Linked DNA regions of Oryza sativa Japonica Group. The protein of the gene in region 1 binds, or shares a complex with, the protein of each later gene. Links are inferred from orthologs where the notes say so. Each region holds a gene or a part of one and is shown in the gene's direction. Other genes may lie near its edges. The genes, in order: SWR1 complex subunit 2, actin-related protein 6 and actin-related protein 4.

What was found.
Region 2: SWR1 complex subunit 2 (region 1) and actin-related protein 6 share a complex: the UniProt entries of both Arabidopsis thaliana proteins name them as parts of the SWR1 chromatin-remodeling complex. The link is inferred for Oryza sativa Japonica Group from reciprocal best matches to the Arabidopsis thaliana genes SWC2 and ARP6.
Region 3: SWR1 complex subunit 2 (region 1) and actin-related protein 4 share a complex: the UniProt entries of both Arabidopsis thaliana proteins name them as parts of the SWR1 chromatin-remodeling complex. The link is inferred for Oryza sativa Japonica Group from reciprocal best matches to the Arabidopsis thaliana genes SWC2 and ARP4.

The regions. Positions count from the first base shown.
Region 1 is NC_089042.1:5,452,290-5,456,555, reverse strand, and holds the start of SWR1 complex subunit 2, read left to right. Parts: upstream 1-1,466; 5' UTR 1,467-1,691; coding exon 1,692-1,762; intron 1,763-1,865; coding exon 1,866-1,935; intron 1,936-2,188; coding exon 2,189-2,260; intron 2,261-2,385; coding exon 2,386-2,429; intron 2,430-2,513; coding exon 2,514-2,778; intron 2,779-2,959; coding exon 2,960-3,038; intron 3,039-3,452; coding exon 3,453-3,572; intron 3,573-3,716; coding exon 3,717-3,785; intron 3,786-3,921; coding exon 3,922-3,964; intron 3,965-4,266. UniProt on the Arabidopsis thaliana protein: Component of the SWR1 complex which mediates the ATP-dependent exchange of histone H2A for the H2A variant H2A.F/Z leading to transcriptional regulation of selected genes (e.g. FLC) by chromatin remodeling.
Region 2 is NC_089035.1:9,333,362-9,337,767, reverse strand, and holds the start of actin-related protein 6, read left to right. Parts: upstream 1-1,474; 5' UTR 1,475-1,754; exon of another isoform or gene 1,755-1,989; intron 1,990-2,071; 5' UTR 2,072-2,147; intron 2,148-3,194; 5' UTR 3,195-3,281; coding exon 3,282-3,976; intron 3,977-4,406. UniProt on the Arabidopsis thaliana protein: Component of the SWR1 complex which mediates the ATP-dependent exchange of histone H2A for the H2A variant H2A.F/Z leading to transcriptional regulation of selected genes (e.g. FLC) by chromatin remodeling. Binds to the promoter region of FLC chromatin.
Region 3 is NC_089042.1:2,095,546-2,099,820, forward strand, and holds the start of actin-related protein 4, read left to right. Parts: upstream 1-1,340; 5' UTR 1,341-1,453; coding exon 1,454-1,466; intron 1,467-1,560; coding exon 1,561-1,652; intron 1,653-2,997; coding exon 2,998-3,171; intron 3,172-3,257; coding exon 3,258-3,331; intron 3,332-3,920; coding exon 3,921-4,001; intron 4,002-4,275. UniProt on the Arabidopsis thaliana protein: Involved in several developmental processes including organization of plant organs, flowering time, anther development, flower senescence and fertility, probably by regulating the chromatin structure.

The DNA.
Region 1 (4,266 bases):
TTTATCTTCTAAAATTCATAAGTAATTCATCCGAGCTCCGTTTAAGTCCATTCAACTCTCAGTAAATTCATAAAAATCCTTAGAATCCACTAAAAATGCTTTTGTTTCCTGTTTCAGTAGTCTTATCGCATGTTTTGCTTGTGTGTTTTGTTTGTCGCGTAGATTTTGGCCGTTTCGTCGATCCGCGGGTTCTCGAAGACGTTGCTGAGGTCTCATCAGTGCGAGAGCAAGGCAAGTCATGCATTACATTTGATCATATTGTACCCAATTTACAAATATCCCGCATTTCTATTAAATGTTGCATTCTTTTACAATGTCACGTGGGATGGGTTCTATTACTCAGCCATATATTGTTTACCTTATGCCATTGATAACTTGGGTATCAAAATGATTAGATATTGGTTTAGGAAATGCTTTGCCGTGCTTAGTTCAACTAGTACACAAATGGGGATCATATTATTGCATAGACTTTGACTATTAGCATAGCTTTGGATTGGTGCCACCGCAATGGTGTTAGTTAATTAAAATACACTGAATGGTGGGCTGTGGGTGCATGGTTTTGCTGGTCGCACCCATGGCAGTTAAGGACCGGTTCACGGGAAACCCTGTGAGACTTACCGTGCTTGCCACAAGCGAGAGTGGGTAACTGCTTGACTTGTAGTATAGCTCGACCCTTTCCTAGGCACCGGTGGCGAGGGTGGGCGTGATGGAGTTGGGTCGGCCGGGGTGTCCGGTTGTCCAGCTGCCAGATTCACCGGGCGGCGCATGAGGGGGCTGCCCACTGCCTTTTGAGGGGTGGGGCTGCCCACCTTGACCGTGAACCAAACACACCCTTAAATGAGCTCAATCCCTAAACGGCAATGACGGTTATCTCAATCGAAGCCCAACCCGAGCCCAAGTATAGCTGTATCGACCATTTGCCATATCGGCTCAATCAAACTCTGACTTTGTTTCCAGCCGATGCACAGTTCGTTTTGGCAAGATTCAATTTCCTTCGATTCCGCTTCGATATCCAACTCTATCTTGTCAAATTTCGCTATTAGCTCAGACGTAGCTACCATCATTTTGGGCTCTAATGTTTCAAATGACATTCCACAACTTGAACGGAGTGAAATGAATGAAACCCTGACGACGACGATATTTCTAAGATAAGTTGGTTTGTACGATGGTAGTTCCTAGATGTTGCAGTCGTCGATGGATCATGAAACAAGGTGCATGTTGAGAGATTTGATAATTTAACACCTTAAAATGAGCTTTGATTATTTGATAACTTGACCAACTTTTATTCACTCAGATGGTCCCATATATTATCCTCACAAGTGTCAATTAAACACAATTGAGAAAAAAAAGTTAAATTATCAAATTTCTCGTGCATATGTCACTCGTATTTGTTGGACTTTTTCTTGAAATAGTTTGGGCTGGCCCAACTATCCCTTAACAAACGAGCCCAGCCAATAGGTGGGCCCAGCCCAGCCCAAACGATCCTAGCCAGTCCCGTCCCCCATTCCCTTCCCAAATCGCTTCACCGAAACCCGCCGCCGCCACCGCCACCGCCACCGCCCACCTCCGCCGCCGCCAACCCGCCGCCCACGCGGGCCTTCCTCGCCGGCGCCGCCGCCTCCGCCGACGTGCGCTGCGGCCCACCTTTGCTTCTTCGTTGACTTTCTTGCCGTCTCGCCGCCGCCGCCGCCATGGCCGACCTCGCCGACGAGGATCCGCCCGTCCTCCTCGACCGCGCCTCTCGTGCCACCCGTGGGAAGAGGTGCGCGCTTCCCTCCCCCTCATCCTCTATGGCTCGCTCTATCCCTTTGGCTGCAATACCTAGTTCGCCCGCCGCTCAATTCAATTCTGTCATCGTTTCCTAGGATAACCAAGCTCCTCGAAGATGAGGTTGAGCAGGACGAGGTCTTCTGGAATCAGGACGCCCTCAAGGAGGTTCTCTTCTCACTCTCTTCCTTCCCGCATTCTGCTGCTTTTCTTCTTATCATTTCTTGATTTCTTTTAGCGGGTCTTGGATCTTGTTTTAGTGTGCTCGGGACAGATAATTAGAATAGCTTCCGTTGTTGTTGAGTTCGCCATTTAGTTAATTAATTGTGCGACTTGCGTCAATGCTGTTGGTTGCTGCAATTGCTTGGTTAAGCAGGATGACAAATACTATTCTTCATTGTTTGCTCATATTTATTACCAGGATGAAGAAGATGACAACTACGAGGAAGAGCAGGATGCTGGTGATGAATTCGACAGTGATTTTGGTGAAGATGTGAGTGAGATCCCTCTTCATGCTGCTCCTAATCATTTTAGCTTTCACCGGTGTGCTGCTCTTCTGCTTCTACTTACTAAGCACTGCACATAGTTGTTTGATGTAACTCCTTTGGATTCATCCAGGAGTCGGAACCTGATGATGAACCGGAAAAGGAAGTACGTGAGAGGTAGGTACATGTGTTTGTTGAGAGCAAGTCACAATATGGTGTATATTAGTTCTACACTCATGTCACAACTCAATCATGAAGCAGATTACCTATCAAAAAGCGACTCATATTCCCTGGGAAGACTATGAAAAAAATCAATGCCAAGAAGAAGAAGAAGGTGGTCCCAAAGCTGGAAGATGATTCCAAAACTGACAAGTATTCAGATCAGCAAAGTCCATCTAAGCAAACAGACATTCCTGATGAACTGGAGACCGGTGAAAAGACCATCAGGAAATCAACTAGAACATCTGTCATCGTCAGACAAGCTGAGAGGGAGGCAATACGTGCTGAGAAAGAAGCAACGATGAAGGTTGTATGCCCACATTGAGTCCTTAGCTTCTTTGTATCAAATTTTGTTGTTAGTGCATTGTGGCTGCCCATGGGCCAGGCAAAAGAATATTGTGTTACTCATATATTAGTTTTTCAATCCATGGCATTTTTCCATTTTGAGGGTTTAATTTGCTCACTTTTCATCTTGTAAATGGCTTCAGCCTGTTATTAAGAAGAAAAAGGAGGGAGAAGAAAAGCGTATGACACAAGAAGAGATGCTGTTGGAAGCAGCTGAAACAGGTATGTTTTTTGTTTTTATAAACCTTTTCCAGTTTTCACAAGAAGAGATGATGCAGGCCTTGAATGAAATGCGATCGCCTAGTTTGCTACCTGACGATTTGGGAGTATGAGTTTGTCTTGTTGAGAGAGTGCTGTCTTTTAGGTCTGGTTTTGTTGAATTTGGGTGGGTCCTTTTTCTGGCTATCGTGATGTATGGACCTGCTTCCTGTTAGCTGGAATTCCGAGCAGTTCTGTCTTTAGTTTGTTAGTTTGCTGTTTGTCAAAAAAGACTTTGTAAAAGACTATGTTTCTTTTGGCTTTTCTTCCAAAAGCTGTGTAGTAATTTGCCTGATCTCTAAAAGTTGCAGACCTGTAACGAGCCAGCTTTAATTGTTGCCATTAATACGTTGGGGCATTTTTTGTATATTTTTCCAGAGATCATCAACCTGAGAAATCTTGAACGTGTATTGGCAAGAGAGGAGGAGGTTAAGAAAAAAGCCGTTGTTCATAAAGCTGTTTATGAGGGTCCTACGATTCGGTTTTGCTCAAGAGATGGTAACTTCTCTATTAAAATATCATCAAGCATCTGTTTGCATCTGGAATGTGGAATTACTAGCTTCTTTTTTCTACATTATGAATTATGATAACCAATACCTTAGGTGTTCTCAATAGCTTATTATCAGTTCTGTGCTGAATTAGGGGAGTCACGCTTGGAATTCATCAACGGGGCATCATTTGGGTCAGAACTTTGTACAACCTCAGCTCCTTGTAAGTGCAAACTTTCATTTGGTTATTCTTTGTTATTTGCCTCTGCCAGTAATCACTAAATGTGAGCATCCGTGACAGATTGAGCTCATACTACTTATATGCCCTCCTCTTCTCATGATAATATTCTTCATTACAGATCCAGAGAAATCTATTTGTGCTGTAACTGGACTTCCTGCCAAGTATGTTCTCTGAGCGCACATTTGAAGTGACCTATATTGGCCTTTGATGTTCCTTTTCTGAAGCCGAAACTGTTGCTGTGTTTATTGCATTGATCTAAATAAAATTGTGCACACGTGCACCTTTTGTTTAACATCTCCACATTATTAGCAGAGTGTTTATCCTTAGACATTGCATTGCTTGAAATGCTGTTTGCCACATCCTTGTTATTGTTTGCCATCTAGTTCTGGTGAAATAGCTACATTATTTTGACTTGGCAATTTGAAATGATCCCACAGAAGCCGATTTGTTATTATTTTCTAGC
Region 2 (4,406 bases), on another chromosome or scaffold:
AAATTCTTAAAAGGTAATTGGATGTAAATTATATGTGCAATATAATTCTTAAAGATTACATTCAATACTATAAGGTAATATCCGTAGGATTATGTAATGTTATATTGACATCGTGAAAAAAAAATCACCTAGCATATGCTTAGCCAAGTTAATGCACCAAAATACTACTTCCTCCGTTTTATGTTGTAAGACTTTCTAGTATTGCCCATATTATGTCTAGATTCATTAACATCTATATGAATGTGGACAATGCTAGAAAGTCTTACAATATGGAACGGAGGGAGTAAATTATCAAGTTCTTGTATTAGAACGCACCCACTTATCAAGTTGTTGCACTCGGACGTTCAATTCTCAACTTCTTGCACTATATCGCACCCACTTGCCAAGTTGGTGTACCATGGGTGCAATTTACTCCAATTGCAAATATGTCCATTTCAAATATATGCCATTACAATTCGTCTATTCGTAACCATGCTAATGAAATTATACAAAATTGAAATCGTGCCACTGCCGTCACATTTTCCATCAATCTCTTTTTTCCCGTTTTGTTTCTTCTTTCTTTCGTCTTCTTACCACACCAACGCATGGCGGGACCTCGGCGGCCCGGCACGCACGAATCCAATCCGATGAGTGGCGGGACCTCGGTGGCTCGACACGCACGCCGTCCAATGCACCGTGGTCTCAACCACATGCTCGTGGACGCGGTTGTCCATCACGATGACGATCTACAAGGAAGGGGATACGGGGAGAAGGGCATAGAGGAAGCGGGGCAGGCGGGGCAGAGGAGGTGAGTTATGCGGCAATGGAAGAGTTTCCCTGTCATTGATCCCGCCAGGGCTCCATCGCTGGTGGTGTCACCTCGCCTAAACTCTACCCATATCTTATGATAGAGAGAGCCCCCGGCTTTAACAGTGGAGGCGGCGGCAACGTAAAGAAGAGCAAAGATGGTGTACGACCGCCTCTTCGTGCCGCTCGCGAGACAGTGGGTAGGCGCCAGCCCCTCTCTCCCTCGTCGCGGTTGGCCTGAAGGGCTGCGCGAGCCTTCTCACGCACGGTACGGAGCAAAACAATGATTTTTTTAAGTTTAATAGAATGGTTCACTTTTAGTTTTTGAAAAATAAATTTAGGTTTTCTCTTGAAAATATTAGTTTTTTCACTTCCTATTTTCGGTTTAGAAAACTCAAAAATAAAAATTTAGAGGTGGATTATACACTTTTGTTGGTGATGCTCTTACGCTATTAGGGTGTGTTTGGATAATGGGAAAGAGGGTGGGATTAGAATTGAGAAATGAATGAAAGGTTATGATTAAATGGAAGAGGGTGAATGAACGGTTAGAATTTAAAGATATCTTTTGGTAGGTGAAAAATTATTTCCCATTAGCCAAACGCTGCCTTAGGTATTACAGTTCTAACCGCTCATATGCTCTATACTATATGTCTATATCCAACGGCCCTCCCCGATTTCCCCGAAACGCTACTACCCCTCCGCCACAGCGTCCACACCCGCGCCGCCGCCGCCCTCACCCTCGCCGCCGCGCATCCCGCGGTCCCACCGTCGCCGATTCCACCGCTGCCACGGACAACCCCGCCGCCCCTTTCCTTCCTCGCCGTGGGAGCGCCCCCCCCCTCCAGGTTGGCTAGCAGCTAGCTCCGCCGGCCGCCCTTCCCCGATGGGGGCAGCGGCGTAGGCGCCGCCATCAGCCGCCGTACGTATGTGAGCGGCGCCTGCGCACGCCTCCAGCTGGTCCGCGCGAGGTAACTGTGTGGGGTAAAATTCCTCTCTAGTCTTCGCTTTCGCCATATCGCATTTTCGAGAATACCTAATGCCGTAGTAAGCCATACGGGGGTCGTTTTATTGCTTTTATGCTTAAGTCACACACTTCGAGCAAGTCTATTGAATCTATACTCGGGTAGAAGTAATGCGCGCTCATCTCCAACGCCTATTTTGCAAAAGAAGAAGAAGAAGCAGAAGAGAGAAACAGTGGCTTTTGTACTACTCTTGCACATAGAACCCCTTCTCGACTTGCTATCAACAGTTGGTTTGAAACTTAGCATTTCTTTGTTATGCGCAGTTTTGCTGAACCAGATGCCGATGCAGTGACGATTCGTTGGCCGAGGATCGCGTTCTTATAGGCCCGATTTGCAAAGGTACTACTGCAGTGGCGGAGCTTGAGAGAGATTCTAGATGGGGCCAGCTATTATAGAGTGGAAATGTTGGTAATGGCAGAAGTAGAATTTGTAGAAGGGCTATTCATATTGTAAAATAATTTCCAAGCATGTTTTTGTTAAGAAAAAATATATGTTATACCTAAGTATAGCTGTTAAACAGGTGGAAAAGGATCACTCAAGTTATAAAAGACAACATATCAAAGTTATTGTAAATTAACAGGTTTTAAGAGAGCTATTTTATTAAGATAAAAATGTTTGTCATCCATAGGAGGAAAATGATTTAGTAAGCAATTAAACTGAAGAAAAAGAATGGACTTCTCAGGATTTGAACACCAAACTTCCAAGAAAGCATCTGCCCTCTTCACTTGCTAATCAATTGAGCAGAAAATAAATTTTCTTACTAGATACTTGTTAAGTATATATGTGTTTGCTGCCAAAGCTGAGGGGGCAACACCCAGGTTGGCCTCCATGAAGCTCCACCTCTGTACTATTAGCTGTTGTTGGAACTATATTGGTCGCATCAAGCTTCCGCCAATGTTTGCAGGGTTAAAATACTTGGTGGTCTGTCATGCTGTATGTTGATGTTATGCATTGCTTTTGGTACAACCGAGTTCCTTTTTCCTGACTGGTTCCATGGTTGGTTGAGATATGGATGCTATGTATTGTTCTTTAATGTTACACTTTAGCAAAATTTTCCCAGATTACGTAAGCAACTACTCCATCCATTTTATATTATAAGTCGTTTTGATTTTTTTCCTAGTCAAACTTTTTTTAAGTTGGACCAAGTTTATAGAAAAACATAATAGTATTTTAAACACATTATATTATCAAAATATATTCAATGTTAGATTTAATGAAACTAATTTGGTGTTTTAGATGTTGCTAATTTTTTCTAACTTATAATATGAAACGGAGGGAGTATTGATTACAAACATGATGGCTACTTCATTTGATTTTATTTAGCATTAGCTGTTTCAATCTTGGCAATTTACCATTTCCATCTGTTGTGTGGTTTTATTTATGTAGGAGTGCTTGTAAATCCAATCATACCATTTCGATTTTCATTTGACCAAGGATAGGCAAGAATAGGAGGAAAAAGGAGAGTGGCATATAATGACGGGTGGATCAGGTGTTGTGGTGCTAGACAATGGGGGTGGTCTTCTGAAGGCTGGATTTGGTGGGGACATGAATCCGACTGCTGTTGTCCCCAACTGTATGGCCAAGCCCCCTGGTTCCAAGAAATGGCTAGTTGCTGACCAGCTGCAGGCACAAGATGTTGATGTTACTGGCATGACATTGAGGCGTCCTATTGATCGTGGCTATCTCATCAATCAAGAAGTGCAACGGGAGGTGTGGGAGCGGGTTATACGCAACCTACTGCAGGTGGATCCTAACAACTCATCGTTGCTACTGGTGGAACCACAGTTCAACCCTCCAGCACTGCAGCATGCAACCGATGAGCTTGTTTTTGAGGAGCTTGGTTTCAAATCTCTTTGTGTTGCAGATGCCCCTTCCCTTGTTCACCTTTATGAGGCTAGCCGCCAGCCATCGCTGTTTCGAGCTCAATGTAGCCTTGTTGTTGACTGTGGCTTCTCTTTCACTCATGCATCTCCCGTGCTTCAAAACTTTACACTGAATTATGCTGTGCGGCGCATGGACCTTGGTGGAAAGGCCCTCACAAACTATCTCAAAGAGCTCATTTCATATCGCTCCCTTAATGTCATGGATGAAACACTCCTCATTGATGATGCAAAGGAAAAACTATGCTTTGTATCCCTTGATGTCCCTGGTGATCTTCGTCTTGCCAGGTCTGTTGCCATTCTCATCCCACCACATATGGATACATGCTTGCCTATTGTTTAGGGTTCAAATTTAACCTGATTTCAAGTTTATCTTCAAGGTCAAATGGTCCTTCACACAGAAAGTCCTGCTAAGAATGTTTTGCTTGTGTAACCAGCTTAATGAGATGTAGATAGCTTAGTATCTTATCTTTGGAACTTAGTGCTGTAGTTGACAAAGGTGGCTTTGTGTTTCATATGTATGTATGAAGGGTTGGTATTTCCTTTATTAGAAGCTAGATTTTGAAACTTTGAATTGCACTTCTGGGACAGCACAATCACTGATTGAGATGGTAATAGTTTTTCATTAAATAATTAGTTGGTCCACGTGTTGAATACAGTTGAGGTTTTTATCCATCTAAGTTTCAATTCTAAATAGTTTTTGTAGTGTCTTTCCTAG
Region 3 (4,275 bases), about 3.4 Mb from region 1:
CCAGCTCAAATTTCTATAGTTATAAATGAGTTGCCAAATATTTTGGCTTCAAACAAATGGGTGCCACTTTTTATTTTTTGGTATTGCCAAGTGCCAACTACTAGAATGGTTTCTATCAAAAAAAAAAAAAAAACCTACTAGAATGGTTCAGTTTGGCTGTAAACCAAACAAACCCTATATGCCCTATGCCTCTATGTATTTGCTTGTATTGACCATTATTGTTCTAATTTTGACCATCGGTAACATTTTAATGATTAGATTACGAGTAAATTGCACCCACAGTGCATCAGCTTGGCAGGTGGGTGTAATTTAGTGTAAGAACTTGAGAAATGAGCGTTCTAGTATAACAACTTGGCATGTAGGTGCAATTTAGTATAAGAACTTTATAAGTGATCGTATAAATGCAACAACTTGCAAGATATGTACGATTTTAATAAAATAAATTAAGAAGTTATGTGGCAGTTTAATTATTGAGAGCATTTTTTTATACATACAATTTTTAAGTACTTATGTTGACAATATACTAGCGTGGATTTGGATATAAAGAAAACAAAAATTCTTAAAGGTAATTGGATGTGCAGTATAATTCTTAAAAGATTAAATTCAATATTATAAGGTGATATCCATAGGATTGCTATGTAATGACATATTAACATCGTGAGAAAAACTTACCTAGCATATGCCTAGCTATTCTTGTACTAAAACGCAACCACTTGTCAAATTGTTGCACTCGAGCGTTCAATTCTCGAGTTCTTGCACTATATTGCACCTACCCGCTAAGTTGTTGTATCGTGTGTAATTTACTTTTAGATTACGATAAATAAAAAAGAGCTAAATTGTACTTGTTTTTATGCAGAAGTTGATTTTTGTTAGGACGGTGGAGACTGTAGTTTAGTGAAAATCTAGAATGAACGTAGCTCAACTGGTTAAGTTCCTTGTGATGAAACCAGCACACTCGGGTTCAAATCCTAAATGTGACATGTGTGTTCGTATTTACGCCTAATCATTCTTTTAGTGGTAAGCGACATACCAGTTGATAGCGAGGCACCTGTGGTGATTTCATCAATCTCAATTCTCAAGATTTGCTAGCTCAGTTTACTAGAGGTGCTCGTAGAGGTAGTTTGTGTGCGTGTTGTCGGCGTATGCATTTTAACTATGTTTCAAAGAAGAAAAGAAAACTGTGATGAAGGTTGTGAAACGGAGGGAACATTGGTTGAGGTCTGAGGGCCGTATCGGACGGCTAGGATAAGCTCCAGTTAAGACGATCCGACGCGGGGGGCAATTTCGGTACAAGAAAAAAAAATCCTTCATTTTCTCTCCTCCTCTCTTCCCTTTCACTTGGCCGTCGTCTCCTCCCCCCGACCCCGCCGCCGCCGACCTCTCTCCTCCGCGCCGCCGACGAACCACCGCCGCCGAATCCCCCTCGCCGGCGGCCACCCGGATCTCCCCAGCCATGTACGGCGGCGGTAAGTTCCCCCCTCTCTCGCCCCCGTCCATCCCCGAGCTAAACCCTAAACCCTAGAGATCTGTGGCACTGGCGCTGCTTGGTTTTTTTCGCAGATGAGGTCTCGGCCATCGTCATCGACGTGGGGTCCTACAGCTGCAAGGCGGGGTACGCCGGTGATGACACCCCCAAGGCCGTCTTCCCCTCGGTGAGGCAGAATGCTTCTTCTTCTTCTTCTTCTTCTCCCCTCCTGGGTTGGCTCGCTGTAATTCTGTCTCGGAGTTGGAACTGTGTGGTCTGTGTTTTGTTGGTGAGAGTTCGTGCGGGTGGTGTCATGGAAATGATAGGGCTCTGTGCGCAATGCAATCCCACTGGCAATTTTGTGTGTTTTCTCCCCATAATTTTGAGCTGTTTTAGGTCGTTGACTTTGAATTCTGATTTGAAAAAAAAAAGAATGATGTGTTAGTGTGTGGCGTCATGATATACAGACATATGTTTATTATTTAGGTCAAGCTGTGAATTTTGCTGCGTGCATTAGTTCCTCCTAGGTCCCCAGCCACCTGATTAATGGTTTTATTCGAGCACTGGATCTTAGTCTGGGAACATGAATAACAGCAGTTTTTTTTTTAAAAAAAATGTTAGTAGCAGGCTAACTCAGATATTGGATAGTACCACAGATAAGACCTGCACTTACCTTTTGATTTTGACATATGCGTGCAAAATTATGATGTATTGACTGCATTGTTAGTTTACCTTTCAGCTTTGTCTTAGCTGCAAACCTGTGCCATTGCTCGCATAGGTAGTAGTTAGCAGTGTTGCATATGTGCACTGAGAGTCAAATGCCAAACTGAATTTTTAAAGTGCTAAAAGAATCTGCATTGTGGTTTCTGTGGAATTGCTACATGTTGGTACTAGACGTTAACTTCAAATGCTATGACAGGTGAACTTCTGGTTACTGTGTTTGTAACGGGAAGTACTTTTCTTGTGTATTATGTCAAATAGGATTGTACTCTTTCTGTCCCAAAATATAAGTATTTCTAGAGTTTTGCACGGGTATTAAGGAAGTAGGTGGAATTAAATGGGGGATATGATTTTTTTGATTGGTTGAGATGAGGAAGTAGGGGGTGAAGTTACTATATTTTGGGATGCGGTATTTTTTTGTCTTAGGTTCTACAGTATTATTTTTTAAAATTTTTTTCTTCCTTTAGTTAACAGACTTATATTGGGGTAATTTGAATTCTTGGAGTAGATTGCTAATTTCTCTTTGTTGCCGAGGAAGTGAGAAAACATATAATTTAGTGACATATAGCAAAACAATCAGCTGTAAGGTACTAAAAAGTGGTGTGTGAATCACACAGAAAAAGTGTTTTTGAGTTTCACTATTTGATGTCGCTGCTAATAGATTAGCATATTTTCTTCTCCTTTTTCTACATAACGTGGCAGTAGTTGCAAGATATGTCATTGGTTCATGGGATTATGCATCTGAGCTACCTAATGGGTAATTTGGTTTTAGAAGTTCTTACTGTGGTTGGTGCACATTCTGTTGTGTTAAGGTTGTTGGTTCAATTGAGCAAACGGGAGAAACTGATGAAGCAAAGGCAGACAAGGAGGCTGAAGCTGCATCAGATTCTAAGAATGGAGCCAAACCTATGGATGTGGACAAAGCCAAGACAAAGCGCAAATTGTATGTTGGTCAAGAATTGGAGTTCAGGAGGGATCATATGGAGGTTAGTTTATGCAGATTCTCAAGTATCAATATTGATGCTCATGATTTTGTTAACTATTGTTTACTGATTCTCTTCCTACCCAATAGGTGATTTCACCAATGAAAGATGGAACAGTTACTGATTGGGATATTGTTGACAATATATGGAATCATGCTTTCAGGTGAGTTTAACTATCTATTTGATGTAGATCTGAGTAATGTCGTGCCAAAAGTGCGCGCTGAAAGAGCTGGCCACACTTGTGGCAAAACTTGACTAGAAAATAAATATCTGACATGCGGGGCACTTGAGTAACAAGGTTTGGCACATTGCTTGTGTGGTTTGCCAAACACTTGCCAGTTGCTGCAAAAGGCCAAACATGCCTTCCTTGATTCTGGGGAAGTTTGGGATGAACCATACTCTCTATTTAACATAGTTTGCTTAGAATCTGCAACAAAGTTCATCTTCTAGGCCTCTAGGGCATCTTTTGGATGTCAACATGGTTACTGCTTTATGCCATTGCCCACCATCTTTTTACCTTACATATTAATATTGTGCTTTTCAAATATACTGATAGTGAAATTCCTTCTTACGTGTACAAACTGGATAAGGCTTTCCTTCTTGGGTTATTTACTTTTATTGGATTCTGTGGCATCTCTATTAGCTAACATTGATTAAATACTAGGATTTCCTCTATATGGTGTGGATATGCAACTATTGAAGTTTCTGCTTTGTTAGCTTTTATCTTCACACTGACTTGCTCTACATTTCAGGCAGCGGCTATTGATCAATCCTGAGGAGCATCCTATGTTGATAGCTGAACCATCTACAAACACAGGACAGCAAAGAGAGAAGTATGCCTATATGTTCTGTATTTAAATTAATTGTGTTGCTAAGTTGCGTCAAACCTGAAAAACATTGCTTGTTATATGAACTAGCTGATTTATAGCACATTTATCTTCCATGACTCTTATCAGTCATGAGAACTGTATTGGTACCAGGATTTACTGCATGCTTTTCTACTTCTCCATTTAATGTCAGAAATGTTAGTTTTTCTGTGTTTCTGTACTTCAGGAATGGACAAATATGGAATTGTTGATCACCCTGTAAAACTTATAAATACCAATA